2 linked regions of the Alligator mississippiensis genome follow. The protein of the gene in region 1 interacts with the protein of each later gene in a pairwise test. Links are inferred from orthologs where the notes say so. Each region holds a gene or a part of one and is shown in the gene's direction. Other genes may lie near its edges.

Region 1 (10,419 bases):
ATGGCTGCAAGTCTGTCCCATGAAGGGCTTTGGGGTTTGTGGGGAGGGAACCAAATGTTTTACCCCAAGCCCCAGTGGGATAGGGTCAGTGGTCAGAGACCTCACCAGTGACCAGGCCCCTTGGAGACTGGGAATGAGACTGAGGGCAGCTGGGCCTGGAGAATGGGCCCCTCTTAGTCCAGGAGCAGCCCCTCCATGCCTCAGAGAGGCCTGTGGTCAGGCCACGTTAAGGGGGCTCACTCAGGCTGCCACTCCCTGGCCTGCATTTTCTCTGTGGATGGGCCAAAGCCAGGGCCTGTTAGGGGTGTGAACATCTCCAACCCCTGCACAGTCCCACTGGTACAAGCCATACAGGAAACAGCGCTGCTTTGTTGGTGTGAGCTGTGGCCGCACAAGAAGGGTTTGCTGCCTGAGCTCTGCTGGAGCAACTCAGATTGAAACCTGAGTACAAACATCACCTTCCTGCCCCACAGGGCTGGGAGCCAGCAGGCTGTGCAGCCCCCAACTGGCCTGTCAGAGGCCCTACCCTGTGGCCTGAGCTCCTACCCATTTCCTCTTGTGGCCTTGTGGATGTGGGAACTTGGGGCTGAGGATTGAGAAGAATAATTGCTCTGTGTCTCTCTACCTCTCTGCAGGGCTGAGGAGGTGATGCCTCTGCATCCAGCCCCCACGTTCCCTGGGCAGGACAGGAGAATTGGGGAGAGCAAGCCGCAGGAGGCTCTGATGAGATTCCTGGGTATGGGGCACTTCCAGGGCTGCTGTCTCATTGTACTGGGGCAGAGGCAGGGGAAGGGGGAGAGGGTCCTGCAGGGGAAGCTGTGTTGGAGGAGAGCCCCAACAAGTGCATCCCCAGTGTGGCAGAAGGGTGAGTCCTTCGGGAGAGTCTTGGCTGGTCAGATGTGAGACATTACCACAGATGGATTCAGGGCCAGATCCTCAGTGCCCCAGGCCTCCAGGGAGGATGTCTAATTGAGCCCAGCTGAGCCCCGGGGACTCAGGCAGTTTGTGCATTAGTTTCCAGCTTCAGCAGCTCTCTAGGGGAATGGCAGCACCTGGAAGAGCTCTGGGACTCCTCCTTACCAGTGCCAATGTTAAATCAAGACCCCAGTGGCGACTACTGTGTGGCAGTCAGAGCATTGCCCATCCTTGTCAGTGGTGAGACAGGGCAGAGCTAGGCTCTGTGGGGAGGAGGCCTGGAGCGGATATAGAGCTGTTGCTAAACAGCCAGGTCTGTACCTGTCACTGTGAGATGTCAGCAGCTGGAGACTCAAATGCCCAGACACATGGAGGGGCCAAGTGGGGGCTGCTGAGAAGGGGAGGCTGAGAACCGAGACCCCAAACATCAGGGCAGGGAAGAGGAACAGTTGCACAGTGACACCAAACCCCACAGTGCTGCTGGATGTGACACTGGGATTTCCTCACCCAGACAGACCAGGGCCCCCTCTTCTGGGCCAGGCTGCTGAGGATTGAGCTGCCCTGGGGACCCCCACTCTGGGACTCCCTGTGTTGGGAATGGCTCAGTTCTCCATCAGCTGCCGCAGGGATCAGAGACCAAACACTGCAGCACTGACTCTTATCTTGCCCCAGCTCCTGGGCAGTTTCAGGCGTTTGGGTAAGTAAGGACAGCAGGATTTGTCCCAGTGTCTGCACTGGGTCATGCTGCAGTGACTCTGCTGTGTGAATTATCACCTCTCTCTTTGCTGCTTGATTCCAGAGTTCAGAAGAGCCCGAGGACACACAGGTGAGTGACCCTGACCCCATATCAGTGACCCCAGAGCCCTCCTTGGAGAACTTTGCTTGCTACAGCCACTGCTCCCACCATCCTGGTGACCTGAAGGTGGGCTTTGTGACCAGCAAGATTCAGTGCATCCCTGCTGCATTCACCCCTCACTGCTCCCAGCCCAGCACACTCTGTACGCCCTGGGCCCTGGACAGGGCTGGTCTCTGAGCCATGTGAGATCCCAGGCCCAGGGTGTTTTGGGATTCTCAGTCGATCTCCCTGGCACTGAGCCTTGTGCAGCAGCTTCTTCTGCTACGGTTGGTCTATTCTGTCCATGCAGTGCCCACACGCTTCCCAGAGCCCAGCAAGTGTCCTGGGCCTGCCTTGGGAGACCTGTGCCTGGGTCTGGGAAGATCGATAGGTCCATCCTTAAGGGGCTTTGATGCCCCAGGTCAGCAATGTGGGGTGGGTGAACCCTGCTCTTGTGAATGGGGCAGGCTCTGCAGGGAGACCTGGTGTTTCCCGCTCTTCACTGTGCAATACTTGGAGGGCAGAAGACCACTGTCCCAGCAGTGCCCCTGGTCTTGTCTGCATGGGGTGTTCTTGGCCCAGTGCATGACTCCAGTGCAAACCCCTGGAACAGATGCACTGCCTGGGAGTGAATGGAGATTTGCCCCTGGGGCAGCTGAGCCCACGGAGAGGGGGCAGTCAGTGGGGAAATGCCCCTAGCCCCCTCAGTAACCCGCACTCAGCAGTGGGCTCTTGTGCTTGGTTCCAGTTGTCTGGGCTGGCTCGAAAGAAGTGAGCACAGCCCAGATGCATGACCCTGCCCGGGGCTCTGTGGAGCGAGCAGTTGGCTCTGCCAGGGCTGCCCTGGCTGCAGAGCCAGCAGCACTTGGCAGACTGCAGCCAGAGGATCAGAGACAGGGCTCCTTTTATTAGACCAACTATTTATTTGGTGTAATAAAAGATATTGGATTTACCCCCAAGACCTTGTCTACCCATGTCCTTGGACCAACATGGCTACAACCAACACCCCCAAGGATGGAGAAACATTTGGCTTCCCAGACCTGAGCAGAGAAAAGGCGCCCCTTGCCGAGGGGCTGGGGTGAGCTGGGGTTCGGCCGAGGGCAGCAACCACAGGGACCTTGGTTTTGCTTTTCCAGACTGGAGGCAGGAGCCACAGTTGTGCCTCTCCCAGAACAGCCGTAGGAAGGAGTGGGGTTACAAGCATCTGTCTCTGACCCTGCTCTTGTAGCCACCCTGGGACTGAGGCCAGTCTCACAAGGGAGGTGGCCTGCAACTGGGCCCCCTGTTCCCCCACAGCCCGGCCCCCATCCACTCCTCAGCCCCGGGAGCAGGGCCTGCCTCTCCCCTGTCAGGCCCCAACTCCAGCTCCCCAAAACGAGCACCTGCCCCGACACACAGACCCCATGCAGGCAGCCCTGGGTTGGGCCGCGCTTGCTGCCTCGTTCAGGGCAGGAAACCCCCATGGCCCAGACCCGCATGCAGGGGTGGCCGTGTGGACAGGCTCCACTTGCAGCCAAGCTGCCTGCCCCAGTGAGGTGTGGGGGGTGCAGGGTGGGCAGCGGGGCTAGCCCCAGTCCTGGCCCTGCCTGCAGGTCCTCCTGGGCACAGCAGAGGTGGCTCCTGTGTGAGCACCTGGGGCACAGGAGCAGCAGCTCCTCTGCCCTTATGTGGGGGCAGGTATGTGGGCTGGGGGCACTTAGGGAGTTGGGGAGATCGGGGGGTGGGGGTGCTGCTGGCCCAGCTCACCCAAGCTCCCTCCAGCACAAGGAATTGTCCCCCCTGCCCTAGACACTCCCTGACTGCAGGGACGGTGGGCTGGGCAGAGGTTTCTTGTATCCAGATGAGTGGCAGCAAGCAGAAGTGGTTGGGGTTGTGGGAAGGGTTTTGCTCATGTGGGGCTTGGCAGGAGGCCAGGCTCAGCCACATGTGAACAGCCGCTTCTTTGGACAGCACTTACTAGGAAACTGGGACCCAGAGGGTTCTCTTGGCAGAGCTTCAGGGCCTGGCGTGTGCTTGCGGGGCCTTTGCTTGGCACCTGTCCTGGGGACAGTGGGTCTTGCCTTGGCACAGGGGAAAGCCCAGAGGTGAAGCTCATTCCTCTCCCTGGCCGGGGATTCCAAACCCATTTAATAGATTCATAGACTGTAAGGCTGGAAGGGACCTCGGAAGATCATCGGGTCTAGCTCCCTGCACAAGGCACTCTGGAGCCAGGGGCGCCATTCACGGGGGAGGGAGGACAGCAACTCTCCCAGGGGGGGAAGGACAGGGAGATGAGCAGGGTCAAGGGAGGGGGAGCATGGAGGACCCACCTTCCAAGCGAAGGAACTGCTTCTTTCAGCCTGGTCCTGAAAAGCACAAGCATGAGGAGGCCCCTGGAGCCCGGCCATTGCTCTGCTGGATGCTGAGGCCACAGAGCGTGACCCTAAGGAAGGGCAGTTACCACTGTATAGGGAAGGGCCCAGGAGGGGAGTGGGTGCAGAAACTCCTCAGTATCACAGCCGAGGGGCTGGGCTCCTCCAAAGGCTGCTTGGAAGGAGACACTGCTCTGGGATGAGGCCATGGGATAGGACAGCCATGACCAGGAGGAGCAGGGCCAGCGCCTGCCCACTCTGCTGAGTTGGCACATGTTTAAAAAAAATCTGGATTTTTTTTGCTTGGATCACTTGATCCCAGCTGACTTCCTGCCTATGGTGAGGGGGGGGGGAGGGGGGGGGCTGGACTTGATGATCTTATGAGGTCCCTTCCAGCCCTTACTGTCTATTCATCTATGACTCCCAGCTGGCTGGTGAAGGCCAGGGTACTGGGACACTGGTAGAACAGCTCACTGGAGAGCAGGACCTGCAGCTCAGCCACTCGCTGCTATGTGAGCTGACACACACACAGTGGCTCTCAACCAAGGTGCCATGGCAGGTGTTGGGGGTGCCACACCGTGTTAATGTTCTTACGTATGCAGATACGAATTGCAAGATTAACCCAGAGTTTTCAGCTAGAAATCCAGTGTTCAGATTCATAGGTGTTAGGGTCCGAAGGGACTTCAGTACATCATTGAGTCCAACCCCCTGCCCTGGGCAGGAAAGAGCGCTGGAGTTAGATGACCGCAGTCAGGTGCATGTCGAGCCTCCTCTTAAAGACCCCCAAGGTAGGGGAGAGACATGTTAGAGATGTCTTGCCTGCTGCGGCCTTTCTGAGTTCTTTGCAACAGAAGAATTGCTCTATTCTTTTTCCAGACTCAAAAAGGGAATTAAACCAGAGCTGGCCTTTTCTGAGGGGCGCCTTGAGTCTAATGAGAGATGCCTTGAGTGTAAAAAGGTGGAGAACCAGTGCAGCCCCAGACCCTGCAGAGACTGTGCATGCAGGGAGGGCTGGTGTTAACTATTCCCCTGCCCTGGCTCGCTCTGCTTGGGCCCCTGTCTCATACACTGGCAGCTCTGCCCTGCCCTGCCCTGCCCCTGCAGTCAGGAAAAGATAAACTTATTTGTAGCTGCTGTTCCCCAGGAGCAGTGGAGCTGGAGCCATGGCTGTAGGGAAGCTGGCAGGGAGGTTCCAGGCAGAGGTGACTTGCTCCATGTGTTTGGACTAATTTATGGATCCGGTGATGACTGACTGTGGGCACAGCTCCCCACGGTGGGGCAGCTCTCCCAGAGGCAGGGTTCACGTGTGGGACCTTACCTCAGCCCTGCATTTCCTTCCTACGGTTCATCTTTCCGTAGGTCGGGAGTACGTGCTCTGGCTCTCAGGGTGCCAGTTAAGCAGTCGCCACTTTCTCCACCCTGGAAGTGAATGAGGCACCGGCCGGCAGGCCCGACTCCTGTGTGCGGGAGGTCCCATGGGTGATGGGGGTGTCTCCTGGGATGCTCCCCATCATCTCCCTTGGCCGACGCCGGCTTGAAAGTCTCTGCACGAAACACTTCTTCCATTCTTAGATCCTGGGACAAACCCAGGCCTGGTGAAAGCCCAAGACCAACAGGACACGCAGCCCTTTGAGGCGATCTGTGCCTGTGGGTTTTACGCCGGGACCCAGGGCCTTACAGATCCCGAACCTCTGGTCAGGATTTCAGCCCCTTTGGTTCGGGGTGTGATCTTTTCTCTAGATCAGTCTGTCTAACGTATCTCACGTACATCTGCTGACAGTCCAGGGCCAAGAGCAGCACGGGGCAAATTCATGCCCCACCTCCCTGGGGGCACAGCCCTCATCACCCCGCCCCCGCGCGGGTAGCCACTGACATCTGGCGGGAAGGGGGCACCGAGCCCTGCGCATGCGCGACGGGAGCCGGGGGCTCAAGCTCTGCCCCATGAGAACTTCAGCGTGTGGGCGCCTACAGCACTGCCTGATCCAAACCGGCGTGAGACGCGGCCGCCCCGCGGACTCTTCTCACACGCGGCCGCACACCGACATGCCCCTCAGAGGGCGGGGGATGGGGGGGGGCCCGTCGCAGCGGTGACGGGGCGCATCAGGCGCGCCGCTAGCAGCCCCATTTGGCCCCGAGTCTTGAGGCCCCCGTCCCCACGTCACGCATGCGCAGAGCGGTGTGCGCCGCAGAGCAGCCGGTGCGGGGAGTCTCTCGCAAGCAGGTTCGGACTTGGGCTTGGTGGGGACCCGGAAGCGGCCCGTGGGGACCGGAAGTGAACCCCGTTTCATTACCAGGGACACCGGAAGTCACCCAATTTGAGATAAGAAACCGGAAGTCATCCTTTTTGACCGAAAGTCGCCCCCTTTTGACCGGAAGCCCCATCTCATTCCTCACGCGCCCCCTCTTTTTGAGTGGGTGGGACCGGAAGTGCTACCTTCTCTCTGGCCGGAGCCCCCAGCACGGAACCGCCTTTTCTTTCCGTAAAGTTGCCCGATTTTTTTATGGACGGGAAGTGGTTCTGCGCCTACCGGAAGTGACGTCCTGGGCAGGAAAGGGGGCGTGGCCAGGTGTCTGTTGGGCCTCTCCCCTTCCTTTCCCCCCCTCCCAGCCCTAGGAGCTCTCGGTGGGTACCTGCGCGTGTGGGGGAGGGGTGATGGGGGTCTCGGTCCCCCCCCCCCCGCCCCGCGGAGGCGGGGTTATACCCTCCCTGATCCCTCTGTGGGCAGGTATAGCCGGCCTTCTGCCCCCGCCCCCCCTGCAAGCCTGGTGAGGAATGGGGTAATTCGGGTCGGGGGGGTGCTGACCCGTCCCTCCCCCTTCCCAGGGGGGAACCAGGAGGGTCGGTGGGAGGTTCAAGGTCAGTCGCTATAATGATAATATAAGGAGAAGTGTGTATTTAGGCATCATGCCCAGTGTCTTTAATGTGTTGGCAGCCTGCTGGGCTGTGCCAGCGCTCCTGCTGGGGCTCAGCCCCGGGGTCCTGGCTAGAGGGTCTTCCCCTTTGTTCGGGGTCGAGCCGACGCTGTGTCAGGAAGGAATATTCCCCCCGATCGGGCTGGTGGGGACTGGGCGTGGGGGGGGGGGGTGTCAGCCTCTGTAGTGGGGGGTGCGGCCCGTGCCTGGGATCTCTTGAGTGATTGTTAACAACCTGTTGCAGACAGAGGACGTTGCTGCAGTCCCCCTGCTTTCCCTGTGGCAGGTTCGGGTGTGGTCTGTGCTGTCAGGGTTGGTGGTCGTCTTACGTTTACCTGAGTTTACCTGATGGATTTGTCTGAGCTGGTCGCGCCAGGGCTGACCCTGCCTCAGGCTGGGGGTTGGACTAGAGGTGACAACTGGAGGTCCCTTCCTGCCCCACTTCTCATGATTATGCCCCCTGGAGACTCCTTCCCGTTCTGCATCCCTAGGATTTCTGTGATTCTCTGAATTATCCAAACCCTCTTTGTTATGCGTAGGAAGACTGTGGGCCTGGGCTCCTTGCTGTACACGAGGGACTGTAGGCCCATGCAGAAACTGCTAGCCCTGTCTCCACTTCGACCTACTAGGTGCTTCAGAACAAAATTGGTGGGAGAATCAACGAGAAAAAACCAGGGTGGGAGTTGGGGGGGAGGGTGGAGGCCTACAGCCTATAAAATTAGGCTGTAGGCTAATTTTGAGGGCTCCAAGGGGGCACTAGCCCTTGAAGAAGCCCAAGAAGCCAGTGGGGGTCACCCGGTGATGCTCTGCCTGGAGATGTGTCCTAGTGAGGACCAGGAAGACGGCCCCACAGTCATCAGGGTTCCTCCTACAGGCATGTCTGTTATGTGCGTGGAGTTGTGGCCTGGGCCCACCAAGGGAACCACACGCTTCCCTTAATTAGGGCAGTTGATAGGGCAATGGTTTTCAAACTGGGGGGCGTGAAGGAATGTTGGGGGAGAGAGGGGCAGGCAAGACGTTTGCAATGAGCCGGCGCTGCTGCAGCCTCACAGGGATGCAGGGGCAGGACGCCCCAGACAGGCTCTGCCAGCAGGCTGCTGCGACTCTGGGAGCCTGGCATGGCAGGTGTGCAAGGTAGAACTTCAGTGGGGCCAAGGCAGGAGGCACTGGAGCTGCAGCAGGTGGAGTCTGGCCCCCCCGAACCCAGTGGCTGTTAGGCTGAGGGGCACCCTGTGCCTGGTTGTGCTGCTTCCCTGGGTTGGGGTGGGGGCATGAACAAAACTGTAACTCAAAGACAGGCTTTTCTCGAAGTTTACTGCAATAGGGGCACAATAATTGATTCCTTGGCACAACTAATGCAGAAAGAGGGACAGAAGTAGGGGTTGGAGGTTGACAACAAGTGCTCCAAGGCGGGGTAGGGGAATTAAACAGGCCTTTTTGCTTTGCCAAGAGGATTGTGGGCCAGTGCCTACCAAGGAAACTTTAAGTCCCCCTTAAGAAAGGAGGGGGAATTATACAGAAGGGAAGGATTTCTTAGGGGGCCTCGTAAGAGACCATGAGAGGTCTGTCTTCCTTATGATCCTATAAGTGATAACGAGTTAATACATGAAGCAAGGATTTCCCTAGGGTGATCTCTCTTATTGCACCGACTGCAGGGTGGAGTTTGATAGGCTTTCGAAAGCAAAACTTCCTAGTTTGGGTTTGAGCAGGAAAACATTTCAGCATTTGCTGCCTTGGCTTTATATCTGTCAGTTTCAAGCCCTGAAACTGACTAGTGCTTCCCAAACTTTTCCTTGGTATGACTCCATTTATGGCCCCATTTCCTCAACATGCCGCCCCTGCCCCAAACCCACAGGTCCCCACCCCCATGACCCCATCTGCTGATTTTGTGACCCTACTTGGGGTCAGAACCCACAGTTTGGGAACCACTGGACTAGGCCCTCTTGATAGCAAGGCTTTTAATGCTGCCTTTGAAACTGACTTGATCTGTCAGTATGCAAGCCACACACCAGTCCTGAAACTGACTAGATTTTGCCAATATCAGGGCTTTTGATGTGTCCCCTGAAACTGACTAGATCTGTCCCTATCCAAGCTGCACCTACCTGTCCTGAAACTCACTAGACTCTGCCAGGACGGTGGCTTTTAATACAGCCTGTGCAACTGACTAGATCAGTCAGTAGAAGGGTCCTAATAGGGATCTGAAACTGACTAGGCCCAGTGGATATCAGGGCTTTTGAGGGACCAGTCCCTGAAACTGACAGGATCTGTCAATATCAGGGCTCCAGTTAGCAGTCATGGAATTGATTAGACCCTGCCAATATCATGCTTTTAATATTCACCTTGGAAAGACTGGATTGGTCAGAGTGGAACTGACTTGATCTCACTAATTGGGCTTTTAACACCAGCCCTCTGAAATTGACAGACCCTGTCAGCATCAAGGCTTTTTATAGGAGAGCTGGAGCTGGCTAAGGGCTGTCCATACATATCAGGGCTTTTTAATTCAGCTTCTGAAAGTGATTAGATCTGTCAGTGTGGAACTGACCGGACCTTGCCCATATCAGGGCTTCTGATGTTGCCAGCCCTTGAAATTAGCCAAGCCCATGGTTTTTAATACCAGCCCCTCTGAAACTGATGAAATGGGTCAGTATCTGGGTTTCAAAACTGACTAGACTCGCTCATATCAGGGCTTTTAATTCAGCCCCTGAAACTGATGAGGTCTGTTCTATCCAGGCATTTAATAGTAGATTTGACACTGACAGTAATCCAGCCTCTGAAACTAACAAGGTCTGTCAGTACCAAGGCATTTAATAGCACATCTGCAACTGAGTAGGGGCTGGCAGCCTCTGAAACTGACCAGATTGGTCAGTATCAGGGCTCTTACCCCTCTTGAAGCCAGTGAAAGGGCTTTTAACAGCAGCGCCTGAAACTGACTAGGCCTGTCAGTGTGCATCTGACACAGGCCTGTCAATATCTGGGCTTCTGAGCTACCAGCCCCAGAAACTGACTATTTCTGTCATTTTCAGGGCTCTTAAAGAGCTCTCTGGAAACTGACTAGACCCTGCCAAGATGGGGGCTTTTAATCCAGCCCCTGAAACTGACCAGGTCTATCAGTATCAAGACATTTAATGGCAGATTTGAAACTGACCAGGGGCTGCTAATATGAGGGCTTTAATGCTACTGCCTCTGAAACAGAACAGATTTGTTAGTATCAAAAGTCCAAATACCATCTTGAAACTGACTGGACCCTGCCTTTAAGGGAGCTTTTAACAGCAGGCTGTGAAACTGACCAGATTGGTTGTTAGGAAATTGATTTGAGTCTGTCAATATCAGCTGCCAGCCTCTGAAACTGACTAGGTCTGTCAGTCCAGAGCCTTTTAATAGCAGACCTGAAACTGACTAGGGGCT
Region 2 (10,223 bases), on another chromosome or scaffold:
AAAATGTGAATCACAGTGAACATCCCAAGACAAGATTATATACTATTTATTAGCTCTATTAATGAGGTGCAGCTCTAGCAGGATATATGAGTTAATAAGAAAAGCATAAGCAGAAGTTCAGTCTTCCACAAACTCTCTTTCTCCCCCCCCAGGGCTAGCTTGTAGTGGAGGTTTTGTAGCCTCACCCACATACTAACTTTTATGGGGACTGGGTTAAGCACAATACCTTGTTTTGACAGGTGGATTTTCCAATCAAACTGGAAGACTGGGATCTGGTCCTAGGACTTGGCCACTCTTCACCAATCAAAGATGTCCTCAGAGAAACCTTGTTTAGTTGCTGAACGTACAAGAACAGCAGGAACTGTAGAGTATCTACCGAAAACTGATCAAGAAGGAAACACAGTATTAATATTAACCAGAACATTACCAATGGCTACAATCATTTAATTAGTCTTTTAAAATCGAGACAACTGTCATGTCCCAAAGGGTATGATTTTGTGTGCGCTTCGGCACTGCAGAATTATTTCCCGCCACATGGAGCTTTCTTTGCATGGTGCAATTCTCAGTTGCATAGTGAAAATCCCAGTGCAAAGGAGTTCCCGCCACCCGTATGTAAATTTGTTTCCCACTATTGGCTGTTTCTAAATTATTCCCACGTGGCAGCTAGCCGTTGGCTTGCTAGCCGTATAAGAGGCTTGAGCAGTTTCCGCTCAAGTTGGAGGAGGAGGACTTCACATCCATCTCGTGAAGAACTCTAAGCGTGCTGCGGAGCCTAACAAACTCCGCGTGTGCCTTAAAGGAGGATACAGGGACCTGATCAACCTCTAGCCTCTCCCCGTTGCCGCACGATCCCTCGACGTACCCTACCCTGCGCGCTCGTGGAGAGTCACCTTTCGAACTCTCATTTCGGACGGTCCACGGAGCCTAGCAAACTCCATGAGTCGTATCCAGAGCTCTGTTCATGTTTGTTTAGCGAAGCCTAGCAAACTCCGCTCGTGTGTCTTCAGCGGAGCCTAGCAAACTCCACATGTGTGTTTTTTTTGTAACTGCAACTCAAGAAAGTTTTCCTGCCTGCACCGCGACCACCTACGGTGTAAGTAAAATAATCCTTAATCAACCTCTATGCGTCCGTCCCTAATTCTAGTTCGCCGTGCCAACCCTTTCCCCGGCCCACATGCTCAGGCTGCTGGCCACAGCCCCTCGGCCCCGACAACAACCTGGTATCTACAGCATTAACTGATTTCGATTTCATGTGCTATCTAGTGTTTGGCACTAGTCAGCTATTAAACAGTTCTGATGAAGGCACTAGAGTTGCAGAATAAATCACTGAGCTTAAATAGATTTCGGGCTTGGAAGATGTTTGCTTGACTTTTCAAGCCCTCTTTATTGTACTCCCCTTACAGATCTTAATGGCAGTCATATAGCAACATGCAGAAAATCAACATCTCTCAGCAGCTATATTTACAGGGTTTGCCTCTGTAAATGCCATTCTTAACCCTGGGAGGACATTCATGCTAAAAGCTTCTTCCCATTAGTTCAGAGCTCCATTTTGAAAACAGCAAGCTCTCAATGAAAACTGGCTGTTCTGAAAAATCAAAAGCTGAAACAGCAGTTATTTCTGTCTTTAAAGCATTTTTTTTCAGTGGGATACGTCTTTTCACCCCCTAGCTCAAGTATCTGAACTGCATTCAAATCCTGCCTCTTAATTCTGCACTTTGCAAGTTTCAGTTAACCCTAGTTTTGCATATTTTCTGCAATCTCAATCACAGAAAACACTACTGATGGCTGACTGATCACAACAGCTGATTCACTTTATGAATGAACACTAAACCCAGAAAGATAATGTAAATGATTGACAACTGTTCTTGGGGTAGGGAAAGAACTGTCAGGAATTTGGCCACTTAAGCTCATTTGATTTTAGGACATCATGAGAATCTCTCTCATATTCCTGTAATGTTTTATAATGTAATTTATATTGCAATATTTCACAAATATTTATACCCCCACATGAGTAAGTAGGAACAATACTGCAACTTCTGTTCACTACTGGAGTTTTTTTTCCCCCCCAATACAGGGTGGGTTTCTCCCACAAGAATAAGTTTTTGAGCACACACATGTCTTTAGCCTCCTGTGCCAGGACTGCAACCAGTAAGGGCTGAAACTTTTAAACTATCAAAATGAGGCAGGTGTTCTTTTTACGTCATACACAGCAGGGAAATGGGCTTTGTGCCCTCTTTGGCATATGTATGAACAAGGAGTGACTTAAAATGTGTGAAGGTCCAAAGTTTTCTGATGTGTATTGGAGAGTCCTGATATCCCCCTTGCCAAAGATTCAGTTCCCAGCAAGCTAAGTGACAACTAGCAAAAGAAGACTTCAATATGCCCTGCCTCTCTGATTTTTAACCAGTTTGACCCCCTTATGTTAATATAGACACTAATTTCGTTAACTAATTAACACATTAAATAATGTTTTTTTCTGAACTCTCCTCCCTTTAAAGGGGATAGATTTGTTCCCCCTCAGCCTTCAGAAGGCAGTCAGCAAAACCACATTAGATCGGTCAAGATTCCTTGTAAAATAAAAAGTAAAGAAAAAAATTTCATCTCACTTGTATCGTATATGGGGACGCGAGGCCCGTTTAAGTAGTTTGCGGAAGACTTTTATAGAAGTCTCCTTTGTGAATATGTTTCCAAGCTGTACAGTGCGCTGCTTTTGAAGGCTTATGCCATAGCTTTTTATTTTAGTACTTTCTATATGAAGTGTTTAAAATGGCTCTAATACAGGAAGGGGCCTCAGTTTATACCATCTGTAGCGCAGTTAAACAGATTGTTGGACACTGGCATCACAGACATGACAGTGTGACTCCGAAGGGAAAATCTGGTCACTGGGGTTTGCCCCAGACACACAGAAAACATCAAATTCTCAACCAAGGGTGGGGGGTACAGAGCAGCGCACCCTGGGGTGCTGAGAGATGCTTTTAAGGGCACCACACAATATTTTAGCACTGTCAGGTGCGCAGGCACAAAATAAGGCTGGAGGTCACAAAATGGGATCTGTTGCCTTTGAACTGTGCCAAGCTACCAGGGTCTTGCCAAGTCCTTTTCAAGGAAAGAACAGCTCTGTTGTCTTTCCATCATCAACGAGCTCAGCGCTGCTGTTTCCCTGAGGGGGCCTCAACGCTACAATGGGTGAGCACTGCTGCACTAGTGCCAGGTGCAGGACAGCAGCCCAGGCCCTGCTCCTGGGCGCTGCAGCTGAGTAGCCACCAAGGGCAGGGGGCGAGACTGCAGGGGGGGGGGTGTCTCCACTGACCCCACCACCAAGGCCAGGTCCCACCAGGCTCCTCGGACAGCTGCCAGGGGTACCGGGGTCAGTCCCCTACCCTTAGCCCTGCCCCCCATGGCTAAGCCCCGCCCTGGCACCTCTGGGCGCTAAGCCCCGCCCCTCCCGGCTAGCCCCGCCCCCAGCCGAGCCCAGCCCCGCCGTGCCTGGTTCCTTAGCTGTTCCAGCTCGTGGTCCGAGGCGCAGGCGGCGGCGGCCTCGGCCCGCTCCAGGCGCTGGGCGGCGCTGCGCGGGGCCAGCGCGTCGAAGCGCTCGAAGTAGAGCCACGCCAGATCCCGCGGCAGCTGCAGCTTCCCGCAGGCGATGCGGCGCCACAGCGGCCAGCCCAGGCGCGGCCAGCCCCCCGCGCCCGCCCGCGCCCGCACGTACGCCGCCATCTTGCGCAGATAGTGCGGACCCAGTTTGGGGGGCGGCGGCGCCGGCAGCGCTCCCAGCAGCAGCGGCTCCGCGCGCACCCACAGCCGGGCCGGATCGGGGGCCGGCTCTGACATGGCGGCCGTGCCCCCTTCAGCCACCCGCCGCGGCCTTCTGCGCCTGCGCGCCCCGCTACGAGGCTCCCGCTCTTGTTCGAACGGGCGCGCTATCCGCCGCGCATGCGCGCTCCGCCGGAGCAGCAAGTTGGTGGCTAGACAAACCAGCACTTCCTTTTCCGAGCGCACGTGGGGGTGCCGCGCTGCTGGTAGTCCTGGCCAGTTGGGTTAAGCAGGGGCAGAGGCGGGCGGGGCCTCGTAGCCCTGCCCGTGGAGTCAGATCCGGGCCCGGCACGGGGAGCCGTAGGTTGCGCTATCCGCCTGTGCCAAGACTCACTCCATAGGGATGTATGGGGCAGGGTCCTATGCACCCCCGCAACTCTGGTTCAGCCGCAAGCGGCTAGGCTCAACACGCACATCCCTGGGCGAAGTTGGTTCCCGTTCCTGACCTCCTGTGTTGGCGAGCTGCTTGGAGCAAGGGCTGCCTGCCCCGCTTGCTTCACCAGCGCAGTCAAAGTGCGTGACACCCCCGCCGGGGATCACAAGCCAGCGGGCTCTGGGTCCTGCCCCGACCCGGAGGAGTTTTGTCTCCCTGCAGCCGGCTGTGCCTGTAGCACGGGTGTGACCTGGGTGTGGCGATTGCACGTCCTTGGAGCGTAATAAACAGGATCTCTTGGCTACTGGAGCAAATTGGTCCGCTGCCCGCGGAGCGCATCTCGTTCTTAAAAACTGGGTTTGGGTCAATAAGAAGCAAATCTGATTTCTGTAAACCATGGTTAGACTCTCACAGGCACAAATTCTAGTCACCACCGTCCACTGCCCTTGTATACACGAGATGCTAGAAGCGCAGTAGACTAATTAGTGCTTCACGGTGAGAGCTGTGGTAGTGCGCAGTAGAATTGGCCTGCTGCCCACTAGCGTCACCTACAAGCGAGAGCTACTGTGCAGTGTTGTGTCAGAGTGAAAGCCACGTGACTGCAGTAGAATTAAGTCGGCTGCCAGTAGCGTCGATTGCAGCGCATTAAGTCTGTACTTGTCGCTTTTCCTAAACTCAAAGCGCTCTAATTACGGTGCACGAGTGATTGATGCATCCACTATTACACACCGGCACCCAGCAGTGTCACACAGCCGCACCCCAACCAGTCTGCGCACGCGAACAGGCAGTCCCTGCCAGCGAAAAGCATCAGACTGCCCTCTCTCCATTGGAGGACTTCGGCTTGCATCACTTGCGAGGCGCCGATTGGTGCCTTGCGGTGGCGGGGGCGGGCTTGCGCTCCCGCGCTGGAATTGGTTGGGCCTGCCAGGAGAACGCTTCCTGCGGGTCTGTAACGCGGAGCCCCTGGCTGCGCTGCGATTGGCTCGCGGGCTGCGGCGACGCAGACGCTGAGCGCTGACGACGAGGGCGGGGATTGGCCGGCCAGCCCGGCCGGGTGGTGAAGTGTGCAGTTTGGATTGGCCGCCGATCTGCGCCGCGCTGGGCGCCCATTGGTCCGCGCCGCTCGCCGGGCTCCGCTTCATGTCCATGGTTACCGGCGAGTGAGGCCTGCGCCGCGGTCCGGCCCCGCTATGTCCCGCCGCGCGCTCGGCCGCCTCTGTCTGCTGCTGCTCTGCCTGCTCGGGGAGGCCACCGCTGGGTGAGTACAAGCAGCCGCAGCCCCCGCTTGCCCGCCCGCCCGCGCTCTGCCCTCCCCCCCCCCCCCCGTGCTCCTGCCTAATCGGTTGCTCTGCTCTCTGCCCCGTGCCCCATCACTTGCTCTTCGTTCTGCTCCCCGCCCCCACTGCTCTATTGTGCCATGTAGCCTGCCTTGCCCGATCGATTGCTCTGAGCTCTGCTCCCTGCCCTGTGCTCCTTGCCCGATCCATTGCTCTGTGCTCTTCTGCTTGCCCTGTTTTTGCCCATCCCTTGCTTTGTGCTGTCCCCCTACCTTTGCCTGGTCAGTTGCTCAGTGATCTGCTTCTCTGCCTGTTCAGCTACTTTGCTGCCTTCCCTGTGCTCCCCTCCCAATCAGTTGCTCTGCTCTCTGCCCTGTGCTTCCTGTCCCATTTGTTGCTCTGCTCTCTGCTCCCTGCCCTGCATTCCCTGCTGGATTGGCTCCTCTGTCCCTTGCCCTGTCTGCCCCCGGTCACTTCCCCTATCTGCCCCATCTGCTGTCCTACACACAGGTGCTGCCCGTGCCATTTGTGGCACCCTATAGGGCAGCTTGGCCACGCCTGGCCTACATATTCAGTGCCTGCATCCAGGCATCTCCTTCCCCGTTCTGCTCATGGTCTGTCAGTCCCCAGGGCTGGGTACCTCTGACACCCATCAATGCCTCAGGTTCATGTGCTTTGGAGTATCAAGAGGGTGGTGCAGTGTGACATGAGTTGCTTTCCCTGCTGCCAGCCTTGCCTGGTGAAGTATGTGGGGATAAAGAAGGGAGAAGCGTGGGTGCTGAAGGGGGGACAGTATCCAGGCTGCAGCCTCCTGGATGCTGGTTGATGGGAGGCAAGGATGGTGCTTGTTAAGGCCCTGGGTTGGGACTCAGCAAACTTCTGATCCTGGCTGTATCAGGGATGTCCAGTTTGACCATGAGTCAGTCCCCATCACTTCTCTCTACAGGGGGCCCCAGGATATCCCTAGCAGAGCACTGAAATGGGGCATAGGACACCAGGGTCTTGATCTCAGTTCTGCCCTAGAATTCCCCTGTGTGTCCCTGAGCCATCTGCTGAGTCTGTTTGCATCTCAGTTCCCCCTTTTGTAAAGTGAAAATAACAGCACTGACTGTTTGGGGGGGGCGGGATGCTTTGTTGCTTTTTGAGTAGCACACCAGGCTTGCACCCAAGTTGGAGCTGCAGCTGAATGCTTTCTTTGCCCTGTGTTTCTCAGGAGGGATTTCTATAAGATTCTGGGGGTGTCACGCAGCGCATCAATAAAAGATATTAAAAAAGCTTATCGGAAACTAGCCCTGCAGCTTCATCCAGATCGCAACCCCGACGATCCACGCGCACAAGAGAAGTTCCAGGACCTGGGTGCAGCCTATGAGGTCAGTGAGTTAACCAGGTATCTGCTTGCAGCTCTAATACAGACCTCGCCCTTCCTGCATAGTTGGTGTCTTTGCTCATGTAGGAGTGCATGGAAAAGATCCTTTATATCCAGCGGTGCCCTTCCAGTGTGCATCAGTCAAATATTTTAATGCTGATTATAATTCCCTGGTGATAAGTTGCAGCAGCAGCAAAAGGGACATGTCAGTTAAGTTTGTCTACCATAGCTGGGAGAGGAAGATTGCAAAAAGCCTCTTCTTTGCTAATGAAAAAAATGGGATTTTTATTTTCCCCCATCCATGTAAGGTTTCTAGCAGTGGTCACAGGCCAAATGCTAGACCCCAAGTCTTATTTCCAGAGTTGGGTGATTGTGGAAGAGAAGGTAAGGAGGAAAAGCAGCCACACATAACTCTTTCATTGACTGAGTTTGCTGACCCTTGGAGAGGGTTCTGGATACCTTGTTGTTTGCCAGGCATCCTGCCAGCAATTAGTTTTCTGCAACCAGAAAATATAGATCACGGATCGACCTGCCTCTGCAGACTGCTGCTTTCTGTCTGGCCAGAGCCACAGGCCACAGATCTCTGCTCCCTGGAGCACCTAAGCCCACCTGTTTCTCTGCCTCCAGAAGCAATGGAGAAAGGCACAGTCTACAGCAAGGGTAAGGACAGGTGCAAGAGAGTGGCAGGGAAGACTGCAGCAGACATGTGTGGTATGACATAGCTCTGTGCCTCCAGTCCCCTGTGCTGTGTCACCTTGGATCTGGCTACAGGCTGTAGGTCAACAACCCCTGATAGAGGCGATTGCTGTGGCTGTTGCAAATGTCTGAGAATATTAGGGTTGAGTAGTTGTCCAGTCAGAAAATACTTGGTCAGTTGACCAGCAAAATGTCAAATAATGGACAAGTATTTTAAGCATTTATTTCTTGGAAAAGTAGAGATGCTTTAGTCTTCAATAGGTTAGAAATTTGTGCTAATTCCAAAAAACCAAGTTGGTGAACTAATTTTCTGGAATAATGAAATTTAAATCCTAAAAACCGGTGATGAATGACAACAGCTAACGTTGTTAGATAAGCATACATTTGAGACTGAACACTTCTTTTTCTTCTCCCTGGCTTTTATTCCCAACCCCAGAATCAGTCCAAACCTTTACAAATTAGGGGGAAAAAGAATTAAACAGAAATAAAAACCACATAGCAATTCTATACTGTTGGTTCCTCCCTCAGCACAGAATAGCTCCAGTGGCTGTATGTTACTTAACACAGGAAGGAGGAGAAGACTGGACAAATTCGAGTCAGGGCAGGGCATGGAGCACTTCGCTGAAATGGTGTATTCATATGCGTGAATCCTAATTTTGGCAGGGCAGGAGGGCATGGAGACCTCACTCCTGCCCTTGCTAATAGGTGACACTGTGATGTTTCAAAACAAAAAAAAGGGGGGGGGTGGCATTCTTGGCATCATGCAATATTTGATAATATTTACCTGCAGGCAAATGATTTTATTTGATTGGTCTATTGCCTGACTTACCTAAGGAAACCTAAAGCTGCATTTTTTTTTTATTTTTTTTTTGGCTTAGGATTCTGAAATTTAATGTTAAAGTGAATTGTCGCTTAATAAACTAGCTGCTTCCTCTCGGCTCCCCCTCCCCACCAACCTTTGTGTCATCTGCAAACTGTACCACAAAGTTCTTCATTTGCTGACTAGATTCATAGATGCTAGAATCGGAAGGAATCTCAACAGATCATCGAGTCTGTCCCGCTGCCTAGGCAGGAAAGAGTGCTAGGGTCAGATGACCCCAGCCAGATGCCTATCCAGCCTTCTCTTGAAGACACCCCAAGGTAGGGGAGAGCACCATCCCTCTTGAAAGCCCATTCCAAATTTTGGCCACCCTTACCGTGAAGAAGTTTTTCCGATGTCCAGCCTAAATCTGCTCTCTGTCAGTTTGTGGCCATTGTTCCTCATCACCCCAAGAGGCGCCCTGGTGAACAGAGCATCTCTGATCCCTTGCTGCATCCCCCTAATGAATTTGTAGGTGGCCACAAGATCACCTCTCAGCCTTCTCTTACAGAGGCTGAAGAGGTCCAAGTCCCTCAGTTTTTCCTCATAGGGCTTGTACTGTAAGCCCCTAACCATACGAGTGGCCCTTCTCCAGACCCTCTCAAGTCTATCAACATCCTTGAAGTACGGTGCCCAAAACTGGATGCCCTACTCCAGCTGCGGTCTGATCAATGCTGCATAGAGGGGGAAGTATCAACTCTGTTCATCATGCATCTGCTGATGCATGATAAACTGCGGTTAGCTTTGCTGATTTCATCACACTGACAACTCATGTTCATCTTGGAGTCCTATATGACTCTGAGATCCCTTTCTGCTTCTGTATTGCTGAGAGGGTCACTTCCCAGCCAGTAGATGTGCTGGATATTTTTGCACCCTAGGTGCAGCACACTGCACTTGTCTTTGTTAAACTGCATCCTATTGTGTACTGCCCACTCTTCCAGTCCGTCCAGGTCTGCCTGCAATCGTTCCCTACCCTCCAGAGTATGTACTTCACCCCACAATTTAGTACTCTGTCCAAGTTTGCAGACGATACACTTCACACCCACATCCAAGTCATCAATGAAGATATTGAAGAATACAGGTTCAAGGACCGAACCCTGCAGGACCCCACTACCCACATCCTTCCAGGTCGATACCAACCCATCTACTACCACTGTCTGGGCGCGACCGCTAAGCCAATTTGCCACCCACTGAACCGTGTAAACATCTGTGTCACAGCCTCATAATTTATTTATGAGAATAGGATGAGATACCGTATCGACGGCCTTGCTAAAGTCCAAGAAAGACTATAGATCAGGCAAGTAGGAAAAGCTTTGTTAGTGATGAATGGAGATTGGAAAGACTCCATATGAAGTGGGAACTCTCCATTAATAGGCTGATTTTTAGACCTACCAACCAGAAGGCAAAGTATTCAACTTTTTGCCCCTGAGGTGGGATATGTGCAGGTTTTGTAAGGAGTCCTTTCTGATCGTATGATTAAGAACCTGTAACATGTCTTCCCTTCCACTCTGTTAAAACGCAGAATTCTGAGGAAGATTTGCCATAACAAGGTTCAGAAAATAATGATGGCTTCAGGCTGGCTTTACCAGTTATGGTGCTCTGCCCCAAGTTATCTGATACTCATGTCTCCTCTTCCACTTCCATAGTTGCTTGCCTCATCTGTTGTAGGCAAGGCTTAGTGCTCTCTCAAAACCAATTATCTCTGCATAAATCATCATGGAGCCCAGCTGGGTGAGTTCTAGGGAAGATTCTGCCTGCAGGCTGCACTAGGTATTTTGAATATTCATGCACAAATTACTGAGATAAGGTGTGAACTGACTGCATCTTGACTAATCTAAC

The links. The genes of interacting proteins can lie anywhere in the genome.
Region 2: the proteins of BAG6 (region 1) and DNAJB11 interact in a two-hybrid assay, tested with the Homo sapiens proteins (2 studies listed by BioGRID and IntAct). The link is inferred for Alligator mississippiensis from reciprocal best matches to the Homo sapiens genes BAG6 and DNAJB11.

Annotation. Positions count from the first base shown.
Region 1 is NC_081834.1:58,567,790-58,578,208, reverse strand, and holds the start of BAG6 (large proline-rich protein BAG6), read left to right. Parts: upstream 1-6,240; 5' UTR 6,241-6,322; intron 6,323-6,635; exon of another isoform or gene 6,636-6,724; intron 6,725-10,419. UniProt on the Homo sapiens protein: ATP-independent molecular chaperone preventing the aggregation of misfolded and hydrophobic patches-containing proteins.
Region 2 is NC_081830.1:33,027,550-33,037,772, forward strand, and holds the start of DNAJB11 (dnaJ homolog subfamily B member 11), read left to right. Parts: upstream 1-5,284; 5' UTR 5,285-5,376; coding exon 5,377-5,444; intron 5,445-6,676; coding exon 6,677-6,833; intron 6,834-10,223. Other genes in the region: TBCCD1 (TBCC domain-containing protein 1), read right to left, coding at 227-382, 3,487-3,831. UniProt on the Homo sapiens protein: As a co-chaperone for HSPA5 it is required for proper folding, trafficking or degradation of proteins.